Nothobranchius furzeri: one gene and its partner. The protein of the gene in region 2 purifies or fractionates together with the protein of the main gene of each other region. This does not show direct contact. Links are inferred from orthologs where the notes say so. Each region holds a gene or a part of one and is shown on either strand. Other genes may lie near its edges. The genes, in order: amot and wwc1.

Region 1 (10,363 bases), about 27 Mb from region 2:
TAAAGATAGGACTGGTTGATTAATCACAGCCTTTACAGTAAATAATCTAGTATAAACAGTAATATACACATTTAAGTACATTTTGCTCAGTGTATTTTTTATGTGTCAAACGTTTATTGAAAGGAATGATTGATTTATCAGTGTTTACAAGAAACAATGTGTTCAGAAAAGTAAAACAAACTGTCAAGCACATTATGCTCTGTTGGTTTTGTTAATGACTTTGTTCTGTACTGGAGCCTACTATTACTGTTTTCTATTGAATCAAAGCATATTAAAATGTGCTTGAACAATTTTATCATTTCTTAATAATGTTTGTACTGGAAGAGAGAATGGGAGGGGGTGGTCAAAAATTTTACTGGTAAAAAGGTTGGGAACCACTGTTCTATGCAATAATTGACAAGTTTCAGTGTTATTTGTTATGAAAGGTAAAGAGAATTAATTTGTGATGAATAAACAAGTCCAAGTGGTTAAAGGTAACACACTGTTTGATTTACTAATAGTCTTTTATTCTGTATGTGGTAGCTCTTACGGTGTGTTCACACGCACGGCTTTTTAATAAAAGGATTGTGAACCATCAGTTTGAGAGACCATCTCTTCAACCGGGGATGCTACAATTACAAATACTTGTATGTATTAATATAACCTTTTTCATGTTTCAGAGCCTTAGAGGACATCCATGAGAGTATAAAGGAGTTGCAGTACTACAGAGCCAACATCTTCAAATCCTCCTGGGCTGAAAAGTGTGAGATTATAGGAAATGGAGACAGCAATCAGAAGTAGCCCCCGTAGATGGGACCACCAGGAAATGCTTGAATTGAAGTTTAGTCAGTTCTAATGACTTGATTTTAGTTTCTTCATTTGTTTAAGTTCTCTGCAACCTTTCTTTTAGCATTGTTTCACCTATTTAGTACATTTCACTGCAGACAGCAGCAAAATGTGCAAAATATTCTAGAAACGGCTTTTTCAAAAGAAATAAAGTGAGCAACGTTTAAAAAGCATCAGATTGTTGTTTTCATGTCAGCACAGTGTGTGTGTGTGTGTGTGTGTGTGTGTGTGTGTGTGTGTGTGTGTGTGTGTGTGTGTGTGTGTGTGTGTGTGTGTGTGCGCGCGCGCATTTTTTTGCGCATCTGTAACTGAACAAACGTGCCTAAAGTCACTTGTGTATTGGCAACATAAGGTATAAATATAATAAAACGTCCCTAAACACTTGTCAGATGTGTGGTGCAGAGGATTGGTACTGGGTTCTAGTGCCAACTGTATTAAGTTCTTCTGGTCGTCCTAGCAACTGTGAGAGCTAGGGACCGATCCATAGATTACAGGCTTTCATCTCCCTTGTGGGAACACCTTTGTTTCTATTCTCAGTGGGCTTTTTTTCCTGTTTTTATCTCCGTGTAATTGTAATAAAAATCACACTTTTAACGAGTTTTCCAAAGCAATTCAGCAAAGATTGTAACACAACCCCTAAATGACCAGAAGATGTCCCAAAATAACATCACCAATGGCAGGCTTCAAGGTCAGGTGGGGGGCAACCATGTGCGGGTAGTGATGCATTTAGGAACACTGTTCCTGTACCTGAACGCTGACTGAACCTCGCATCTCAGGATTGTTTTAGCATTTTATTTTTGTAGTCGGAACTGAATTCAGGATTCTTTATTTTTATCATTTATGTATGGCCACATGTCCCCACCCTCTGCTGTTCAAAGTAGTCAGCCCAGCTTGTGGGCTCGAGTCGGGTTGAAATAGAGAACTCCAACACAACCCTAGAAAACTTCCTTTTGCGCCTGACAGTCCCTGATGACCTGTTGTGGATCAGAGAGGTCCTCCTCGAACTAGGATCCTTGGGCCACCAGAAGTACACGAGCCATAAACTGAAGGTCCTCACGTATTGGGCCTGAAGATGCATCCTCTGAAGAATGAATTAGCGCAGACACATTTTTAAGTCTGTTCACTTAATCAAGTAATGCAAAAGTAAAACCCACTGAAATACTAAAGTACCGTAATCTGGAGTCTAGTGTCGACATGCATGATGATGGACCAAAATGTGTCTTCAAGAGCAGCAAATGAAGGAATGAACCAGCTAAGTTAAGGAGGCGCCTCATCACAAAGCTAGTTTTATGTTTAAACTAAAGATTTTCCAGTGAAAAGACGAGGATTACACGGCCCAACAAAAATGGCGAACCAGGCCACAACATGGAAGGGATGATTTACCCATCGGTGGAGACAGATTTCAAACTGCTGTTGTCAATTAGTGTAGAATTTTTTGGAGCTGAAGGGTTTAGGCAGAATTTTGAGTCTAAGAAAATGCACCAAAATGATGACTACACAAGTCTACAACACTATAATACATTTATTTATACCAGTTATCAGCAAAAAAAGCTGATTTTGGTGTGACTTGCTCTTTAAAGGTTTATACTCCAGTAACGTGTGTTATGTGTTTTTACCCCTGTAAGGGGTCCCTGGTTCTCTAAAGTTTGAGAACCCCTGGTTTAGATGACACATGGAACGTGACCAGAACAACCGTGTTGTTACAGAGCAGCAAGACAAAAACACGGCTGAGAGGATGAAAAAGTGAAGTGTCCGACAGCAGGTGGCGTCTGAAACGGAGAATAAAAAATGTTTCTGGAGATTAAAATACCTCCAGAGACGGAGCCATTCTGGCGTGCAGAGGCAGAACGGTCCATCTCCAGATCTACGGAGATCCTTTAGAGTTGGTAAAACATCTGATCTACTGTAGTAGGGTCAAAGGTCATTCTGCTGCGTCAGCAGATAAACAGAAACTCACCCATTATTTAAGAGGTTCCTTGAGAACATGCTGGATCATCATTGTGATGCAGCTCAGAAAGATTAACAGGAACACAACTGTCCAGAGTTTAAAAATAAAAGATGAACTCTTTATTGTACTGGTGTGTAATGACTGGACCAGTGCTTCTATCCTAAAGAGACAGGAAAGCAGCGATGGTCGTCCCTTTAGCATTTAATCCCTGATCAGCTGTTATTTAATTTAATTAGGAAATGTTCCTACGAGAACTCGGATTCCATCAGCTGGACGTTTGGTTTGCTGCAGCAGATCAAAGCTTTAGGCCAGCGGTCACCAACCTTTGTATAGCTGAGAGCCACTTCCTGGGTACTGAGCTATACGAAGGGCCACCAGGTTGGTACAACACTGGCCTTTGAACTGGAATGGATCAGCATTAAACCGAACCCTTGTGTATAATAAACATAATTTGTTTTTAAAGAATATTGTAGTTTTTAGATCTATATTAATGCATTTGTGATTAAAAACATCTCAGCAAACTTCAGATACGTTTTATTGTATAGTGGTGTTGGTGACCTCCGCTTTGACCCTCGTCTACTCTGGTGTAGCCCTTCGACACGTCGTTTAGCCAACATGTTTGTTACGTTGGCTTTCCGCAGAATGTGCTTCGTCTGGAGACATATGTCTGGGTCAGACCTCTGAGAGCAGACAGAAACGTTTCACATAATGTTAAACTTTATTGATCACATTAAAAAACAACCGAGTTGATTCAAAGTGCTATTTTATTTAAGGCATTAAGAATGTAACAGGAAGTACACATACATTATTGTAAACGAATAAAACCATAACAGGGTTTGGTTATGCGCTAACAAAGGGTCACTCTACCGCTGATGGAGCTCTGGACATCACATGATCATCATGTGTTCATCTCCAGAGCAGTCACATGTACAGATGGAGAACTTCATTTTTATGTGTTTTGCTTTGCTCCACCTGCTGGACCAGCTACTGTAGTGCAAGTTTGCTTTTCGGTTATTGGTTTATTTTAACTTCGGTGTACTACACCTACATTTCTTTGCTCCGATAACCGAGTTTAGGCGTGTAGCTACACTTCCTGCCTGGCCTTCCTTCTCCCTGTGGAGATTTTAGGGGTAAATCCTCTAAACTGTTTAGTAAGAGCTGTGCTGGGTTTGTGGCTGATTGTGCAGCGATAATAAAAAGTAAATCCAACAACAATGAAAAACATACATTAGCTACATTATTGTGTACTGCAGCCGCTAAAAGGATAATGTCTTTTATACAGGTGTAAGGTGAAGAATGGCTTTCCGTCCACTTTTCTAATTTAAATGGAGCTGAAAAAACTGAAATGATCTCAAGACAGTAAACAGAAAGTGTAATTTGCATAAATAGGCTGAAGCCCAGGTCTCAGAGTCATCCTGTCCAACCTGACGGTCTACTAGCTCCAACGCTGAGGCGTACTCAGCCCTGCATGCTCCAGGTCTGCAGAGGTTTAGGCTTCACAAACGTGGATTTCTGGATTGATGAAAACATTTCTGCTCGCTGTCCTCTCACACACACGCACCCAGACTAACAACACTGTCACCAAACTGAGGCTTTTGTTCTCTGATCAAATCAAACGGTTTTTCCGTTACACTGAGTGTGTTGATAAACAATCTGATTAAATTACACATGAGCTAAGAGAATAAACAGATGTTAGTGAGTTAGCAAAGAGCAGATTAATAAAACTCCAGCATGAAGGTGGCAGGTGACACACATTCCTCCACGTTACAGATTGTTTACCAAAGCCACATGATTTGGAGAAGCAGTTGGATTCAGACGCTGAAGGAAGTTTCTGCAAAGTAACATTGCTGCTGCTGGGTTAGGGTTACTGTGTGGCAGACGGAAGGGTATGGAGGTCTGCAGTATTTCCAGAGGTTAGATGGAGCACAAAGACATGACCAAAGTCAGGTTTAGTATCCGTTTCCCAAACTCCAGCTCTAATGAACACCATATCAACCCAACAGAAGGAGGTTAATGTAGCTGCAATGATTAGATGATTAAGATTTCTGCTATCACGGCGGTACACAGGGCTGATGAGCATGCAGAGTTTCAGAGTCCTGCAAGTACCAAGAATTTCACATAAACAGTACCCGCTGTCAGGTTTACGTAGGAAAAAAAGAGGTACACAGAAGCTGTAAACATTTACCCTTTAAGCTTCAGAGTGGAAAGACGTCTGGTGCCTGGTCTGTGCTCAGGATCTGTAGGAATCATTGTGGGGACCCTACCCCGGTACCATTGATCTAGTTTTGTTGAAGCACTAAAGGAAAAAGCATCTAAAAAGCCAATAAATAAGAAGTTATGACCTGTATTATTTCATTATTGCAAACTACAAAACTGAGATGAAACAGGACTGTGGTGGTTGCGTTTTTGTCCCCGATCAGGGTGCAAATGTTAAATAAATGCAGCAAAAACAACTAAACCAGAGGAGTCTCGCCGGGCGGATCGGTGTCTAAGACGTGGAGGATAAAGACAAATCAGAACCACGTTGATTTGGAATGAAGCTGCCATCTGATCACTTATTGCTGTTTTCTTCTTGAGTTCAGATGAGGATCTCCACCACGTCTGAGTCCACCTCCTGTTGTGGTGGTGGAGCTGAAGCAGGAGCTGGCGGCAGCACCAGGGCCTGGACAGGAAACCTTCTCTCCAGCGTGCTGCTGTGAAAAGCAGGTACATCTACACAAACAAATAAACATCCTAAATGTAAAGTTCTAATAACAGCATCAAACACAAAACTCCATCCAGTAGGCCAGGGAGTAAATAAAACACACAGCCCAACAGTGGGCTGGTATCTAGGCCTCAAGTCTCCAACATCTGATCAGTAAAACGTGTCGCTAACTCCAGAAGAGTTTCGATGGTAGAAATGGTTGGATTTTAACCTCAGGAGTGCTAAAAAACTCAGCCAGAATGTGACAGTCCACCGATTGCTTGTTGAACATCCGCCAGTACCGGAGTGGGGTTTCAGACGGATTACTTCTTTAAACAGACGATATTTAAATGTTAAGACCACCTGATGGAGAAGCCAGAGTAGTGAGTACAACCAAAATGCTAACCACTAGCTGAATGGTTATAAAGTTTGGTTGGAACAATAAGTCAGTCTGGGAATCGGTCTTCTCTCTATACAAGTAGTGTGTGTGTGTGTTTGTTTGCACATGTGTGTAATGGCGTTTACACATTAGCGTCAGCTCGATCCCGGAATTTGGTTTCACACACAGGTCAGATTTGTCTTTTTGGTTCCGAGGCCTTTTTTCAGACCTCCTCCTGATGACTCGGACTCGAGGACAAAAAAACCCGATCGGGACATCCCTACTGAGAACCACACCTCCATGCTGCAGCAGCGTTCAGTCAGAACAGGAAGTGAAACTTAAACGTAGCTGCTGTCAGTAACAATCTAACAGATTTTAAACATTAAAACTCAACAGAAACAGTTCAGAAAGGAAATTTCACAACTTTGTGTGTGATTTATTATTATTATTATTATTATTATTTATTGTGGCAGAAGCTGGTGTGGTCCACCACAGAGAAGCTGCTCTAGCATGATGACCTTAATTATTCTACAGGTTATTGTTCAGCCTTCTGATGCTCACACACACACACGCACACGCACACGCACACGCACGCACACACGCACACACACACACACACACGCACGCTGACGCTCCGTGTGTATTTTTATTTCTGCCGTGAGACAAACTCACCTCACACCATCCAGAGTTTGTTCTTTAAAGCTTCTATTAAATCCACCGTGTTGATGTATTTTAACACGTTTCCTCTACGCTGCAGGAGTTAAAGTTTACATCACGGAGTAAAAGTTCGGCAGACGCATTTGTTTATATCTGGGTTGGAGGGAGGGGGGGACTCGGTGCTGCACACAGACAGCTGGTGTGATCAGCTCTGAAAAGTGTTGATCACAATTTGCAGATCACGTTTATTTTTCACTGAAATCGGCCGCGGATTCCTCTTCCGTCGGCATTCTAGGAATCAAAACTAGGAATCGAAATAAAACTTTGAACGATTCCAGGAAAAACTAACTGTTGGTCCCGGTTCAAATCGATGCTCGGTGCCCAACCCTGTTTAGTAAAGTATGTTTTGTTTTAGTAAAGTGATTTTAGGAAAAGTTCATTTTAGAAGTTTTGTTTAGAAATTTTTACTTTAGTAAAGTGCGTTTTGTTTTTAGTAAAGCGAATTTGGTAAAGTTTGCTTTGTAAGGTGAGAGTAAAGTGGCTTGGCATTCTTCACCTTGTAGCATCCTGTGTAATTCCGATGGAGTGAGCTGACCTGCTAAGCGATCAGGGATGTAAACCGGGCTGGGGCTGGACAGGCGGGCTGGCAGCGTCATACTCTGCAGGACTGGAGTGTTGGGCTTGCTGGTGTCCTGGCATTGACCCTTGTCGGTCTGTGTGCAGCTATCCCTACTGCCAGTCTTAGAGTGGCCTGTGATCATCGAGGTGGAAGACAGTATGGGAGAAGGGGAAGATGAGATCGACTCTGTCCTCAGAGACTCTGGACCCAAAAGAACCCCTGGAAAACCAAGAAAACAAGATCTCATCAAAAAGCAAGGACATCTTCTGCTTCATGTATTTAGGCACTTCTAAAAATGCTCATCTTTCTTATTTTTGCAACAATTGTGATTTTTATGAAACACTGTACTCCTTCATGAAGTTAGGATATTGATGACAAAGGAGTTCCAGTGTTTAGTTTGGGAATGATTTGTTTGAAAGTAGGTAAAAACAGAAGCACAGAATGTCTGTAGTGGTACTCTATGACAACAGAGTACTTTGTTCTGGGTTTGTTTACGTTTCTGACGTCTGATTTACAAAGAAGTTAATCCTCAGCACAAAAAGAAAAAAAACAGACAGGTCTGTACCCAGACTGCCCTTCCAGCTTGTGTCTTTGCGTTCTTCAGTGATCGGGGAGCTGCTGAGTCCAAGGCTGTGAGACAGTAACCCTGACCCACCAGAGCCAGTGTTAGAGATGGACATCAGAGACTTAGATGGTCTCATTGCAGATGGTGCATCTGACTTGGTGGGCTCTTTTCTGGAGCGCTGGTGGAGAACTTTGATCATGGCGTCCTTCTCAATGATCTGTGCATGGAGATTCTTTATCCTGGAGGATATAAGAACAGAATACAGCTTTAGCTCCCTTAATCGAGAGAAATTGAGTGTGCAAGTCAGCACTAATCCCACCTGCTTCTTTAATTAACAGGTTCAGCAATAGGCAACAACCTTAACCCCGACCCAAGGTAACAGGAACCTTTACAGCTATACAGTGACACCATGTGACCCTTCTCTCTGCATTTCCATCAGAGAGGAGAGGTTTCTCTGCTGCGGTTAACAGTTTCCAGACAATGCTCTCAGCTGGTTAACACTGGTAATGTAACCATGAGTCCGAGTTAGGAAAACTTCTGTGGTTCTGGTGGTCCATCCATCAGTAGTCTGAGCTATGTGGTGTTTCACAAAAGTCTTTGACTCATCACTCCTGCAGTTAAAGTTCAGGAGCGACGACGCCTCAGCGGTCAGGGTGAGGGGAGCCTGCACGTCATGTACATGTGAATGAAGACAGAAGTGCACACAGTGAATGTGGCTCTAACCTGCTCTCCATGTCCAGGCAGCGACGATTAGCCATGAGGATCTCCTCTTCCTCCTTCTGGATGCGAGCTTCCAGCGACGTGTCGTAGCTGCTGCTTGGTGAGTGGTTTATTCCTGCTGCAGAAGCATCCCTGCACAACAAAGGTCAAAGTTCACGTCAACAGAACGGCGGCTTCCAGTCATCAGGTGAGTTTTACCATGTCTCTCACTCTAGTCCATATACATAGACCAGGAGTCTCCTGCCTTGTTGTACCTTTGAAAATAGTCTTTGCACATGGGACATGGGGACTGTGTCCACATGTACACCAATGAGGATAATGTGCATTTCAGTCTGTGGAGGAAATGTGTGGAACAGGGCTGATGAGGAATTAAAAAGCTGTGTAATTATAAATCAACTAAAATATTTTATTAAAAGAATCATTAATGCAGGAGTACATGTGATGGGCCGTATTTCTGCATGATCTGGTGAGCGAGTTAGTGTTATGTGTGACATGGAGGACACCTTAAGTATACAAATATTTATATGGGTGTTTTTATTGGATGAGGCATCTGGGGGGTAGGATTTAATGAGCACATCATAATTTTCCTGTCATTTCCTGATTAGATCTGTTATTAATTATTTAATAATAATAATAAAATAATAAATAATATAATTAATATTTTTTATGTCTGAAATGAAGATGTCATTCATTCATTCACCAGCACAATTTACTCCTCAAAACATTCCGTTCAGGCACAAGAAGTGTAAATTATTACTTGTATTACATGTGGGGTTACCATGGTAATGTAACATTTTCATTGAGAACAACGTGAAATTCCTCCCGCCTTACACAGACTGTGCTGTTCCTATGACGCTGGTCAGAAGATTCGATTGATGTGGGACTACAACAACATACTCAGCAGCTTTTGGATATTATAATCGGTTTCAGTCTAGTGGGGATTTTTGGCTCATTTGAGATTTTGTAATGAGATGCGATCTTTCACCTGCTGTGGGCTAAATGGAAGCGTGCAGCCTAACACGTAGAGGATTCCTATTACAAAATCTCTAACTGACTACACTTACCACATGTTGGTAAGGTAACGAGTATGTTGGACATTAAATGACCCAAGTCCAGATGTTCCTGCGTGAGACGTATAGCTATGCAGACGACACCCAGCTCTATCGGTCATTTCCACCAGACGACCACACTGTCTCTGCACGAATATCAAACTGTCTCTCTGACATATCAAAATGGATGAAATCCCACCATCTTCAACTCAACCTCTCTAAAACTGAACTACTTGTCATCCCAGCGAAACCATCCATACAGCACAATATCTCAATCCAGAATGACTTCCTGTCTCTGGCTCCTTCAAATGCAGTTCGAAATCTGGGTGTTGTGATTGATGAACACCTGACCTTTAAAGATCATGTTGCCTCTGTTGCTCGTTCATGCCGCTTTGCGCTGTATAACATACGAAAGATCAGACCATACCTAACACAACATGCCACCCAGCTCCTGGTGCAATCTACTGTCATCTCCCGCCTCGACTACTGCAATGCCCTTCTAACTGGTCTTCCAGGCTGTACTGTGAGACCTCTTCAAATGGTCCAGAACGCAGCGGCGCGTCTGGTCTTCAATCAGCCAAAAAGAGCACACGTCACCCCTCTGTTCATTGAGCTCCACTGGCTACCGCTAGCAGCACGCATCAAATTCAAATTGCTAACACTAGCATACAAAGTCCGAGATGGTACGGCTCCCCTCTACCTGAATCCTCTTGCAAAGGCTTACGTCTCGGCCCGGCCGCTCCGGTCATCACAGGATCATCGGCTAGCAGTGCCTACACCACGCTCAGGACAATCCAGACTCTTCTCATGCATCGTTCCACAAATGTGGAATGACCTTCCAAGCACTACCAGAACAGCGGCTTCCTTTTCAATTTTCAAGAAACTCCTGAAGACCCTGCTCTTCAGAGAGCATCTTCT
Region 2 (10,752 bases):
CACCACGATAATTTCAAAAGGATGGATCAGAAGCTGGCAGCTACTTCGGGGACAATTTTCAAGTTTAAAAGCAAGTCAGCTAATTTAAAATGTTTTTTTCAGATCCAAAGAAGTTATCTATGGTTGGTTAGTTGCTTAGTAGTTGCAGCTTCGGTGGCTAGCGGGTAGTAACTCACTTATATTTTTAATTTAATTAACATGTACACAATTTAAAAAGTAAAAGGCTCGTTATATATTTATATTGAAACTAATACAGTGATCCCTCGCTACTTCGCGGTTCGTTTATCGTGGATTCACGACTTCGCGGATTTTTTCTTTGGAGCCTTATTCAAGGGAAATTCGCCGATTCGCGGTGTTTTTCTATGCGAAATATCAAGAAATTCCTGTTTTTTTTTTTCATCAATTTCATCATAAAATGCACTTTTTGTAATAAAACTATAAAAAAACAAGTAAAAATACAGTACTATGTAAAGGGAGGGTTTCAAAAGTCTGAATACTGAATACGTACCTGTTAAATAAATACTGTAAATATGGTGTCCCTACTTCGCGGATTTTCACCTATTGCGGCCAGGTCTGGAACGCATCTACCGCCATACACGAGGGATCACTGTACATATAAAATATAACATTATCTCCCGTGTCACGTGATGTTACGTCACCGCCGTGGAAGCCGCGGTCACTTGATGCAAGTCTGTTCCATTTTACCGTTTTCTTTGACCTAGGAAGGACAGTGTCCTCGTACGCAAAGCGCCTGGCCTCGCGAGGCCAGGCGTCTTGACATTGAGAAACACCCAGCGATGAGAAGGTCCTCCTCAGTATGATTCATCTGTTGGCTGATTAGTTTAAACATTCATTAGGATGCTTTGGTTTTCTCACCAGTTTTCGACCAGCACCAACAAACTGGCTGAGAAGGTTCGCCTGAGTCTGAAGTACGAGGAGGCCAAGAGGAGGTAACAACACTTTAACTCAGTCAGGAGATCCTGATTTAGCTGGGACGTCGTTGGTTTGTTTAGATAAACGTGTGTGTACCAGTAGAACTGCTTCAGATGTTCTGAAAGCCTCAGCTTCCTGTCTGTAAGTGGGAAGTCTGGACCGTGATCCAGCTGCTGCCAGAGCAGCTGTGGCTACGCTGTAGCTCATCATCACCAGCGTGTGGATGTGTTGCAAAGCACCTTGGGGGGTTGTAGAACCCTAGAAGGCGCTACGTGAATACAAGCCATGTATCATTTATAGTGAGCGGGAAGTCCTAAGTGGGGAAGTCTATGAAGCACAAGATGGATCTGAAACCGGCAACGAGTCCCGCAGATATCGGGCAGTTCCTCGGATACTGGACCGTGGAAAGTTCGTCCAAGAATCTGCTTGGAGAATGGAGCTAAAGTGACCCGGGTCCATCCAGAACCCTGATGTTTCAGACTCAATAGTTTGATCCCATGCTGGACTGGTGGAAGATGTGAGGCTGGAATATTTAGATCCTCTGGAACTTTCACATAAAATAATCTTTTCTGCCTTCACAGGACCCGTTTTCTTAAATGTTTGATCTGAAGTTGATCCGTTTGGTCTTCCCTTCTGCTGTGGAGCCAGCTATAAACCAGGGTGCTCAGCTTTAACCATAGCGTCCTCACCTTCTCCTTCCAGGATCGCCAACATTGAAGTTCAGATCGCCAGACTGGACAGCGAGGCGTGGCCGGGGCTGCTGGACCCGGAGCGGGACCGACTCATCCTCATCAACGAGAAGGAGGAGCTGCTGAAGGAGCTGCAGTACGTCAGCCCCCGGAAGCGCCTGGAGCCCAACGACGCCGAGAAGCTGGAGACGGAGAAGAAACGTCTGGAGAGAGACCTGCAGGCGGCCAGAGACAACCAGAGCAAAGCTCTGACCGAGAGGTGCTTCAGATCGGAGCTTTTGTCTACAGAAAGGTTTTTATGGGTTTAGCTGCAGGGGGATCAGAGAGCTGTGAGATGAATAACTCGGATCAGATCAGCTGGTGAGACCTCTGACCCTTGGATACTCCTGTCTCGTTTTCCTCCATCAGGTCTCCCTGTCCACACACACACACACACACACTCACACACACCCCTCTAACAGGACCGTTGTTGTTCGAGCTCCAGGTCAGACTTTACCTGAGCCCCGTCTCTCTTTGTGTCTCGTCTCCTGTTCCTGAAACCCGAGATGCCGCTAAGCCTCGACACAAGGACCTCTTGTAGCGCACACACACACACACACACACACACACACACACACACACACACACACACACACACACACACACACACACACACACACACACACACACACACACTGAGTCTGCAGCTCTGGAAATGCAACATTCTTTTCTTTTACCGAGTTTCAGAGAAGACGAGAAACCAGACGCAGTTAGCCCCCCCCCCCCCACACACACACACACACAACAGAAACTAACAGTTCGTCTTTGATAATTTCGCACCGTCCAGGTTTGTTCTGCTGCTTTTAGAAAACATTGAAGCTAATTATTCATGTCGGGTTGATAAACGATGGATTCTTCCTTGTTTTGGGTCAAATCTCTAAACCAGCTGGCCGTTTTCTTCCGTCCCTTTGAGTTTCTTTGTTATGTTGTTTTGTTTTTGTGTTCTTAATAATTCACAGACTAGCAAACTTTGTAGTTTTACTTTTTACTGACAGTTTCGGCTCTCACTGGCGCCTTCCTCGGAGTGGTGGTGATGTCACTTCCTTGCTGTTTCATCAATGGGCAGTCGCCCTCTACTTTCCACTTCCTGTTTGTCGATGACCATGTCCCATATGTGATCCACTCTCCTCCATCTCTGTCCACGTCTCCTTTAATCCGTCGTTGCTGACTTTGGCCAATATAGAAAAACTTGTATATATCGGTCTGCCTCTAGTTTTCTGGTTATTTTATTAAACTCCGCTCCCTTCTGTGATTTCAGGCTGCGGCTTCACTGTAAGAGGAACAAGCTGGTGAGAGAGCTGGAGGAGACGGTCCGCCTGGCCACGACGCTGCATACGCAGCTCAAGAGGTCCGTACTCGTCTCCACCAGGAAAGATGGAGTCAAACAACAGCAGCTTCTAAAGCGTAGTGCAGGAAGTTGGACTTTTAGCAGCACGAGCATCAGTCAGTCGGAAAGATTGGGTTGTGTTTGTGAGGAGGTTCTGACGCCTGCTGCTGCTCTGGGTTCGTTCGGCTCAGACGTTTTCTGAGGAAGTAAAAAGCCTGGATTGCTCGTGGGATTTGTGACGTACTGATGTGGTTCTGAGACTGTAGTTTCTTGACTAGTTCCATAAATGAAATGGATGAAAAAATAAACACAAGTAGATAAAAAGCATCATTTACTGGATGCTTGCTCAGATAAAGCTTTAACTGTTAAACCACCGCTTTTATCTTTAGTATCTGAATAACGGAGGCGTGTTTTTGTGTAAAAGTTGTCGATGGCTCGGTGAACAGCCTCTGTTCAGATAAATGGAGTTTAAATCCTTCAGGACTGATGTGCTAACGGCTAGTCTGTTCTCCAGCACTTCCTGTGTTGGTTGTGATGTCAGAGACATTAAGAGCGTCCTGCTGGACTCCATCCCTGGATGCACCGGAATGCTACAGAAGGTTGCCGGTGATATTCACGCTTGTGAGGAACCACAGAATTCCTCCTGAAAATCCCCGTAATGTCAAACGGATGATGTCGTAAATGTTTGCGAGGGAACGTCACATGACCTGACATGAGCTCGGGGATCGGACAGGTTTTGGCTGCTCCCAGACTAGCTGTTAGCTCATCGATCCTGTTCCTCGGAGCAGAGGCGGATCAGGAAACGACGGACGACTGGTTCGATAGGAAGTTGTTCCTTGTTTGTAAATCTGTAAAATTCCCTGACGAGATCTATTTCCTGTCTCCAGCCTTTCCGCCAGCACGCTCTCCTGTTCGTCCGGCAGCAGTCGTGGATCGCTGACCTCCAGCCGCTGTTCGCTGGCCACCACCTCCAGCATGGGCTCCACCTCCTCCCTCAGCTTCACCGACATCTACCTGGAGCAGCCTGAGCTGGCCGACCCAGACCTGCGGAGCAAGCTGGAAGGCCTCCTGCAGGACGGCGGTCAGGGAGGTTACCGGCCATCCAGCTCCATCACCACCATTCACGAGCACGAAGTGGAGACGGGCTGCAGCGGGAGGCAGGGGGGGGATGCTGGGGGTTCTGGTGTCGGAGCGGAGTCCTCCAGGATCCAGGCGCTCAGACCGTCAGAGACTCCTCGCTCCATGAGCTCGTTGTCCCCCCGATCGTCCTTGTCCTCCTTGTCCCCACCTTGCTCGCCGCTGGTTTTGGACACTAGCTTCCCGTCGGGGGACACGTTTTTGGGCCAGACAGAGCCCGGCAGTTTGGGTCTGGATCTGGAGCTCCGCAGCAGGCTGACAGAGCTGGAGCTGAACTCTGAGGAGCAGCGGAGAGAGGAGCACAGGGAGCTGGAGGAGAACCGGAACCACAACAACATGCTGGGAGAGGAGGGAAGAGGTGAGTTCAGCAGAACCGGGTCCAGATGGCATCCTCGGAGCTGTGATCTCCAGTGCTGCTGAGTTTAAAACGTAGTTTTGTACCTTTGATCAGAGTTCGGCCCACAACAACCTGCTGATCCCCTAAATTAGAACGTGGTTTTCATAAATTCTTTAAAGATCGCGTTGCCGCTGTCGCTCGTTCGTGCCGCTTCACGCTGTTGAACACACGAAAGATCTGACCGTACCTGACAACATGCCACCCAGCTCCTGGTGCAGTCTACAGTCACCTCCCGCCTCGACTACTGCAACGCCCTTCTAACGGGTCTTCCAGCCTGGACTGAGACCTCTTCAAATGGTCCAGAACGCAGCGGCGCGTCTGGCCAGCCTAAAAGAGCATGTCACCCCTCTGCCCATTGAACTCTTTTGGCTACAGTTAGCCGCACGCATCAACCTTCTGGGTCAGATACCAGATCCAATCTTTGATTTAAAAAAACAAACAAAAAAAAACAGAAAAAGTAAATTCAGGAAAGTAATGACAGACAAAACCACCGTAAAAGGCTGGAATGTTTAAAGATGAGATGTGATGGAGTTCTCAGATCCTTTTGCTTCTCTGGGTTCACAGGAGATTATAATTTATACGACGGAGATTAAATCCACCGACCTTTTATTTATTTATAAAACCTTACAGACGGTTCGGATCAGGAATCAGGAGCGGGTTCTCTAGGAATGTGGAACACCAGGAATCCTCCTTCCACTGGGGTTTGGGAGACCCGGGAATGATCTGTGGGATCATGAGAGTCGGGCTTTGAAGAGAGGACCGGTCCTCGGGTTCCTGTTGGATCTGCAGGTGAAAGGTGTAGGCGGTGTCTGGTTTCCTGCAGCCAGAACCCGACCCGGTACCAGGTTCTAATTATACATGCAGCACTTTCTCAGAGCGTTCCCTCTCCGTCGTCTCAGCTTCAGGCTTCTGTTCCTCTGCTTGGTGTCGGTGAGCCGCTCTCAGCTTTCAGGTTTAATCCGGATCTGTGATGTGTTCATTCTTACAGCGACCAAACAAAAACCAACAACTTTTATTAAATAATGAAAGGATTTCAGACTCGTCTACACCTTTGTTTGTTTCATCTGGATGAGGAAAAACATTTTTATTTCTGCTTGAAGTCCTTGGAAATGGTTGAATTTATATTTATTTGAAATGTTTTAAATTAGCATTTGTGCAGTTTGCACAAGAAGGTTCAATAATATGAGACAACGAGATCGCTCGACTCCCACGTCTTCACCTCCTCCTATTCTGCCTCCTTTCAGCTCCCCAGCCGCGAGGGGTGGGGCCAAAGAAGATGGGCGTGACCTCCGCTGTCTCTGACGAGTCGGTGGCCGGCGACAGCGGCGTTTACGAGCCGTCAGAGCGCAGGTCTGTCTGCTTTGATCTCCACAGAGTGGTTCTGGTTTGTCTTCTGTAAAGCGGCTCTAATGTTGAGGCTCTAATGAGGTTTTTATTGTGTTTTTAACACCAATAATTGCTTGAAAATAGAAGTGAAATCTGGTTTCAGCAGCTTCCTCAGTCATTGTTTGACCCCAGACCTCCACTGTCAGAACCTGACGTTCAACCTGTGAATCTTTTTGTTTTTATTGTCTCCTCCAGACCGGGCCTTCCTGCAGACCTCCTCCTGAGCTCCTACGAGGAGCGGCTGACCTCAGGCTGCTCTCAGGTGCAGCTCGGCTTCCGTTACGAGTCCAGAGACCAGCGTTTCACCGTCTATATTATGCAGCTGTCCAACTGCAGCGCCCTCTGCCTGCCAGCTGACCAGAAAATGTAGGAACCTACTTCTGTTAACTGGATTCTGGTCATCAGAGCTTTGATATAATCTGCTGCGATGTTTTGTTAAAGAACGTCGTGTGACGTAAATGTTGTTCCAGGTGAAGTTTTTAATCTTATGAACTCATTCCCATTAGGGGTGTGTATTGGTGAAAGTCTGGTGATACGATACAATATATCACGATATATCGCCATATCGATATTTTCTTACATCCCTAATTCACGTGGTGTTCTAGAAATTCTAGAAGATGTGTTTTGGTCTCAGGAATCTTCAAAAGCAACCTGGCTTCTTTATTTTCCTGAGGATGTTCTGCTCATCATCTGAGCCGTTTCACGAGTAAAGATGGAATGTGCCGAGCTTTATGGGCTCGACACACGGGAGGCGACATCGCCTCTCCTCCATTTTCAATGAGACGTGCGCGACAAAGCGATAATCGCGGGTCTCCCTCCTACTAAGCAAAACGCGAAAACCGTGCATGTGAACTTTTGCGCTTGTGCACGTGTCGTGCACAGGCGACCCAGCAACGCAATCCCAGAAATTTGAAATATTTTCAACTTTTCATTGCTGTCGCTCAGACGAGGACCAATGAACGGAGGTTTCATTCACTGACCAATGAGCAGACAGGATGCTCCGTACACCTCCGAGCAAACATGGAGGAGAAGTTGATACTTGCTGTGACGGATTTCCCAGAACTGTACAATATTTCTACCAAAGAATATAGAGAAGTTCCCAAAAGGGAAATTGTCGGTGCCAGAAAGAACACATTGGGATCGTACTTGAGGTCCCTCATTAAATGATGGTATTCTCCGTTTCTTTCTCTGGTTTGTAATATGGGACGAACCCATTCTCGAAGTTTTTTTTATATTGTAAAATCAGAAGTAAGATTTCACATAACTCTAGCGGCACCTTGTGACACATCATATCTACCACTTTTTTAACTCTGAACCACTTAAATAACCTTAATTCCCTCCAACCTGACACAGCCAATCAAAACAACGGATGATTCGATTTCGCCATGGAACAGAACGCGCCGACGGCTTTGCCGCTGCCGCGGGTCGCCTCCCGTGTGTCAGGTAATTAAAGCGACGAATTTCGCTGATCGAGGTTGTTTGTCGCCTCCCGTGTGTCGAGCTCATCAAACTGTAGTTTGTTGATGCGATGATGATTTAGAGGAACGAGAATATTTCAGCATTAATGTAGCTTTGAATCTGATCGCCAAACAGTCTCACAGCAGTACATCTTCAGGAGTGTCGTCAAACATCTCTGGCCCTTGTGACCTTCAGGGGGAAGGGATTTATGAGATAATAGGAGTGTGTATTAGCGAGAATCTGGCCGTACGATGTTAATCACAGTACAGGGGAGACGATATGATATATTGCAATACTAAAAGCAAGCATCATATTTGCTGTTCTTAACTCGTTCATTTTTTACTGTGTGGGCGTCGGACGAGCCCCCGCACCGTGAGAACAAACATCTCAGCTCTAAAGTTGATCTTCATCCGCATACGTCACACGTCACGTGATCAGGAAGCAGAACATCCATGTGTTAGGAGATCGTTTTGGGCCACTGTTGTAAAAAAAGTGAGGCGCGAACCGGAAAAGCTTCTGCCGACCACAATTCAACAACGGATTATGAAAGAACGGATAACGCTCGAAACGTGCGGATTCTTCCTGATGTAAGAGGTGAGTCTCCGCTTTGTTTTGGCGTTGACATCATCCTAGCGCGCACCGTTCAGTGACTCTTAAAAAAACAGTAAAAACAGTGAGAAATGCTGGCAGCGAATGAGTTAAGAGTGAATTTAATCAAGAACTCGACCCAGACGCTTCCAGACACGCCCAGTGTTATCGTGGTTCCTTCTGACAGAAATGGGTAAAAACTGCTGCCACCTAGCTGTTGGAGTTTGAGTTACATCTCACAAAATAAATACAGTAAATGTTTGCATGTAAATTCACAGTAAAAGAATCGATGCACCGCTTTCAAATATTGATTCAGTATCAGAACATGAAATATCGCAATACTTCAGCATATCGATATGTCCTTACATCCCCACAAGATGTTGTCCTGTAATAAACTCTCCATAAAGAGGACGTCTAGCCTTTTCTGAACCTGCTAGAGCTAAAACATCTGCTTTAGTTTGTTTCTGTGCTGTTTGCTTCGTAGCAAACGCTCCGGCTGGTCTGAAGCTAACAAACAAGCTGCAACGGGACGTTTAATGTTTGTCCTGCAGGTACGTCCGCCTGGCGGTGCTGCCCTCCGTCCAGGCCATGCGTTGCCTCTTCCGAACACGCAGCTCGCTGCCTCAGGAAGTCGTGGAGATCAACGAGGTGTTTGGCATGCAGATTTCCCACGGTGCGTTGCGGCAGAAGACGCTGAGGGTTGACGTCTGTGACGGCAGCACGTCGGGCCTCGAGGAGTGTCTGGTTAGTGTGATGATCCCGTTAGACGTGACGAGTTTAGACGGATGTAATAAAATTTGTTCTTCCTCCAGGCGGGGGCTCAGATCAGCCTGGCTGACATCAGCTGTTCGGAGGACAGGTGCACCAAGTGGTACAACCTACTGAGTCGCCTCTACATGCCTGAGATCAGCAACAAGGACAGAGGGAGCAGAGCAACGGGTGACTCTGATCAGGTACCGGTGGGGGGGACACTGACACCTGGTGGTTGGGTTGGAAAGGACACTCAGCAGCTAAACAACAAAACCCGCCATTTTTAAAGTTGCTCTTGTTAGTTTAATAATAAAAAACAATCCGCACTTAAATGTAGGTAAACGTCACCTGACTGATCATCACTTTAACACCTTATTGTAGATTTGCTGCTGAGTTCTGAGTAATGGACGAGATGTTTTGTTTCAGGCTGGTGTTGGTAGCAGAGAGGAGGACCGAGCTGGTGATGATTGGTGAGTTTTACCTCCTCTTTGGTTCTGCTGCTCCTTCTGTAGAAAGCCTCGTCCCTGGTTCACAGCTTCTGACCTGATGATAAATAAATGGGGTTTGGCTTTTAAATCTTCAGGTGCAGCGGTCATCTGAAGGCAGATGTACTTGATGAAGATGAGGGTGGAGATGGGGAGGAGCTTCAGGAGGAAGAAGATGAGTTCTACCCTGAGAGCAGCCAGTGGGAGACGGAGGAGGAGGAGGAGGTGACCAAACCCCCTCCAGCTGCAGCACCCATCACAGAGAAGGTAGAACTTTGTTTCTGCTGGTTGTGGATGAAGACGGATAGTTACGGATGCCAGTAGGTCTAAAGTCTTCATCGTCTCCTCCGTCCAGGTGAACAAGGAGACCAGTACGGATGGATTATCCTCGTCCCATCACTGCTTCGTGGTTCGACCCAAAGAGCGCCGCCCGGACGTCCACCAGCAGAACCCGTTCATGAGGGGCAACACCATCATTCGCTCCAAGACCTTTTCCCCTGGACCTCAGAGCCAGTACATCTGCAGGGTACCAGAACCGCTCCCATGGCAACAGAAAGAGGAACTTCTCATGTTTCTGATGGTTTTATTCTAAAAGCTGTTTTGATTTGCAGATTAATCGCAGCGACAGCGACAGCTCCACCCTCTCCAAGAGGTCTCCGTTTGTCAGGAATGCCTCAGAACGGCGAAGCATGCGCATGAAGAAGGTAGAGAGTTATTCCTGCTGTGAGATAGGCGTCTTTAACATCGGAGTCAGTGGGAACTTGCTCCTTTCTGGAGTCAGCCCCGAGCGGATGAGATGCAGTAAACATTTGTGACGATGTGTTTGGTGTTTACTGCAGGTTTTTATTGTTTTTCTGAGAGCAGCTGCATCTTTTTAACCGACTTAAGCGGTTCTGGGCCAGTGTGTGTGTGGACTAGGGGTTGTATCGACTAGTCGACTTCACTGCTTTTTATGCCTTTCATCGACTAGTCGCTGTCACGTGATGATGACTGACAAGATGCAGTCCTCAGAAAAGTCAGCAGGTGACAAGCTCCTGCGCATCCGGAGGCAACGCGCTGTGCCAGAGCGTCGGTACTGACGCCCGCCGTAAAACGGACATCTAACCAAATTGTGACATTTACCCTCTTGCAATTTAACCTTCCCCTCACCCCCATCCTAACCTTAACCAGCTTGCACATGCAAAGCTGTGATTGTTGACGCGCTCCAGACATCTGCATCCTGAGCACGGCCACAGTAACATTATCAAATCAGGTGTCGCCACCTCAAAAACTAATTTAACACGCGATCGTTCATGTCGGCTCAATTCCTTTTATGTTTACTGTCTTTTAGTCTTTTATTTGTGCCTGATGCGTTTCGCTGCTGTGGATCGGGGCGCATCACCTGTTTTGTCCTCCGGTGACACACTGATCACTGATGCGGCCGGCGAGCACTCCGCTGTTTTTGCGGTCGGCAGATCTTTTAGAACTGCAGTTGAAAGGTAACTCATAAGGTGAATATATATGAACCCAGGTAGCAGTTTTTCTTTAGGATTGAGAGGAGATGCAGGAAGATAATAAACAGGC

What was found.
Region 1: the proteins of wwc1 (region 2) and amot purify together in Homo sapiens (affinity purification with mass spectrometry; 3 studies listed by BioGRID and IntAct, with this or other methods). This does not show direct contact. The link is inferred for Nothobranchius furzeri from reciprocal best matches to the Homo sapiens genes WWC1 and AMOT.

The regions. Positions count from the first base shown.
Region 1 is NC_091750.1:44,149,592-44,159,954, forward strand, and holds the end of amot (angiomotin), read right to left. Parts: intron 8,529-10,363; coding exon 8,400-8,528; intron 7,916-8,399; coding exon 7,677-7,915; intron 7,331-7,676; coding exon 7,049-7,330; intron 5,486-7,048; coding exon 5,352-5,485; 3' UTR 3,520-5,351; downstream 1-3,519. Other genes in the region: smfn (small fragment nuclease), read left to right, coding at 660-780.
Region 2 is NC_091750.1:71,325,414-71,336,165, forward strand, and holds part of wwc1 (protein KIBRA), read left to right. Parts: intron 1-879; coding exon 880-950; intron 951-1,635; coding exon 1,636-1,881; intron 1,882-2,919; coding exon 2,920-3,009; intron 3,010-3,875; coding exon 3,876-4,483; intron 4,484-5,766; coding exon 5,767-5,872; intron 5,873-6,103; coding exon 6,104-6,274; intron 6,275-8,505; coding exon 8,506-8,698; intron 8,699-8,766; coding exon 8,767-8,907; intron 8,908-9,130; coding exon 9,131-9,174; intron 9,175-9,287; coding exon 9,288-9,456; intron 9,457-9,544; coding exon 9,545-9,715; intron 9,716-9,800; coding exon 9,801-9,893; intron 9,894-10,752. UniProt on the Homo sapiens protein: Regulator of the Hippo signaling pathway, also known as the Salvador-Warts-Hippo (SWH) pathway.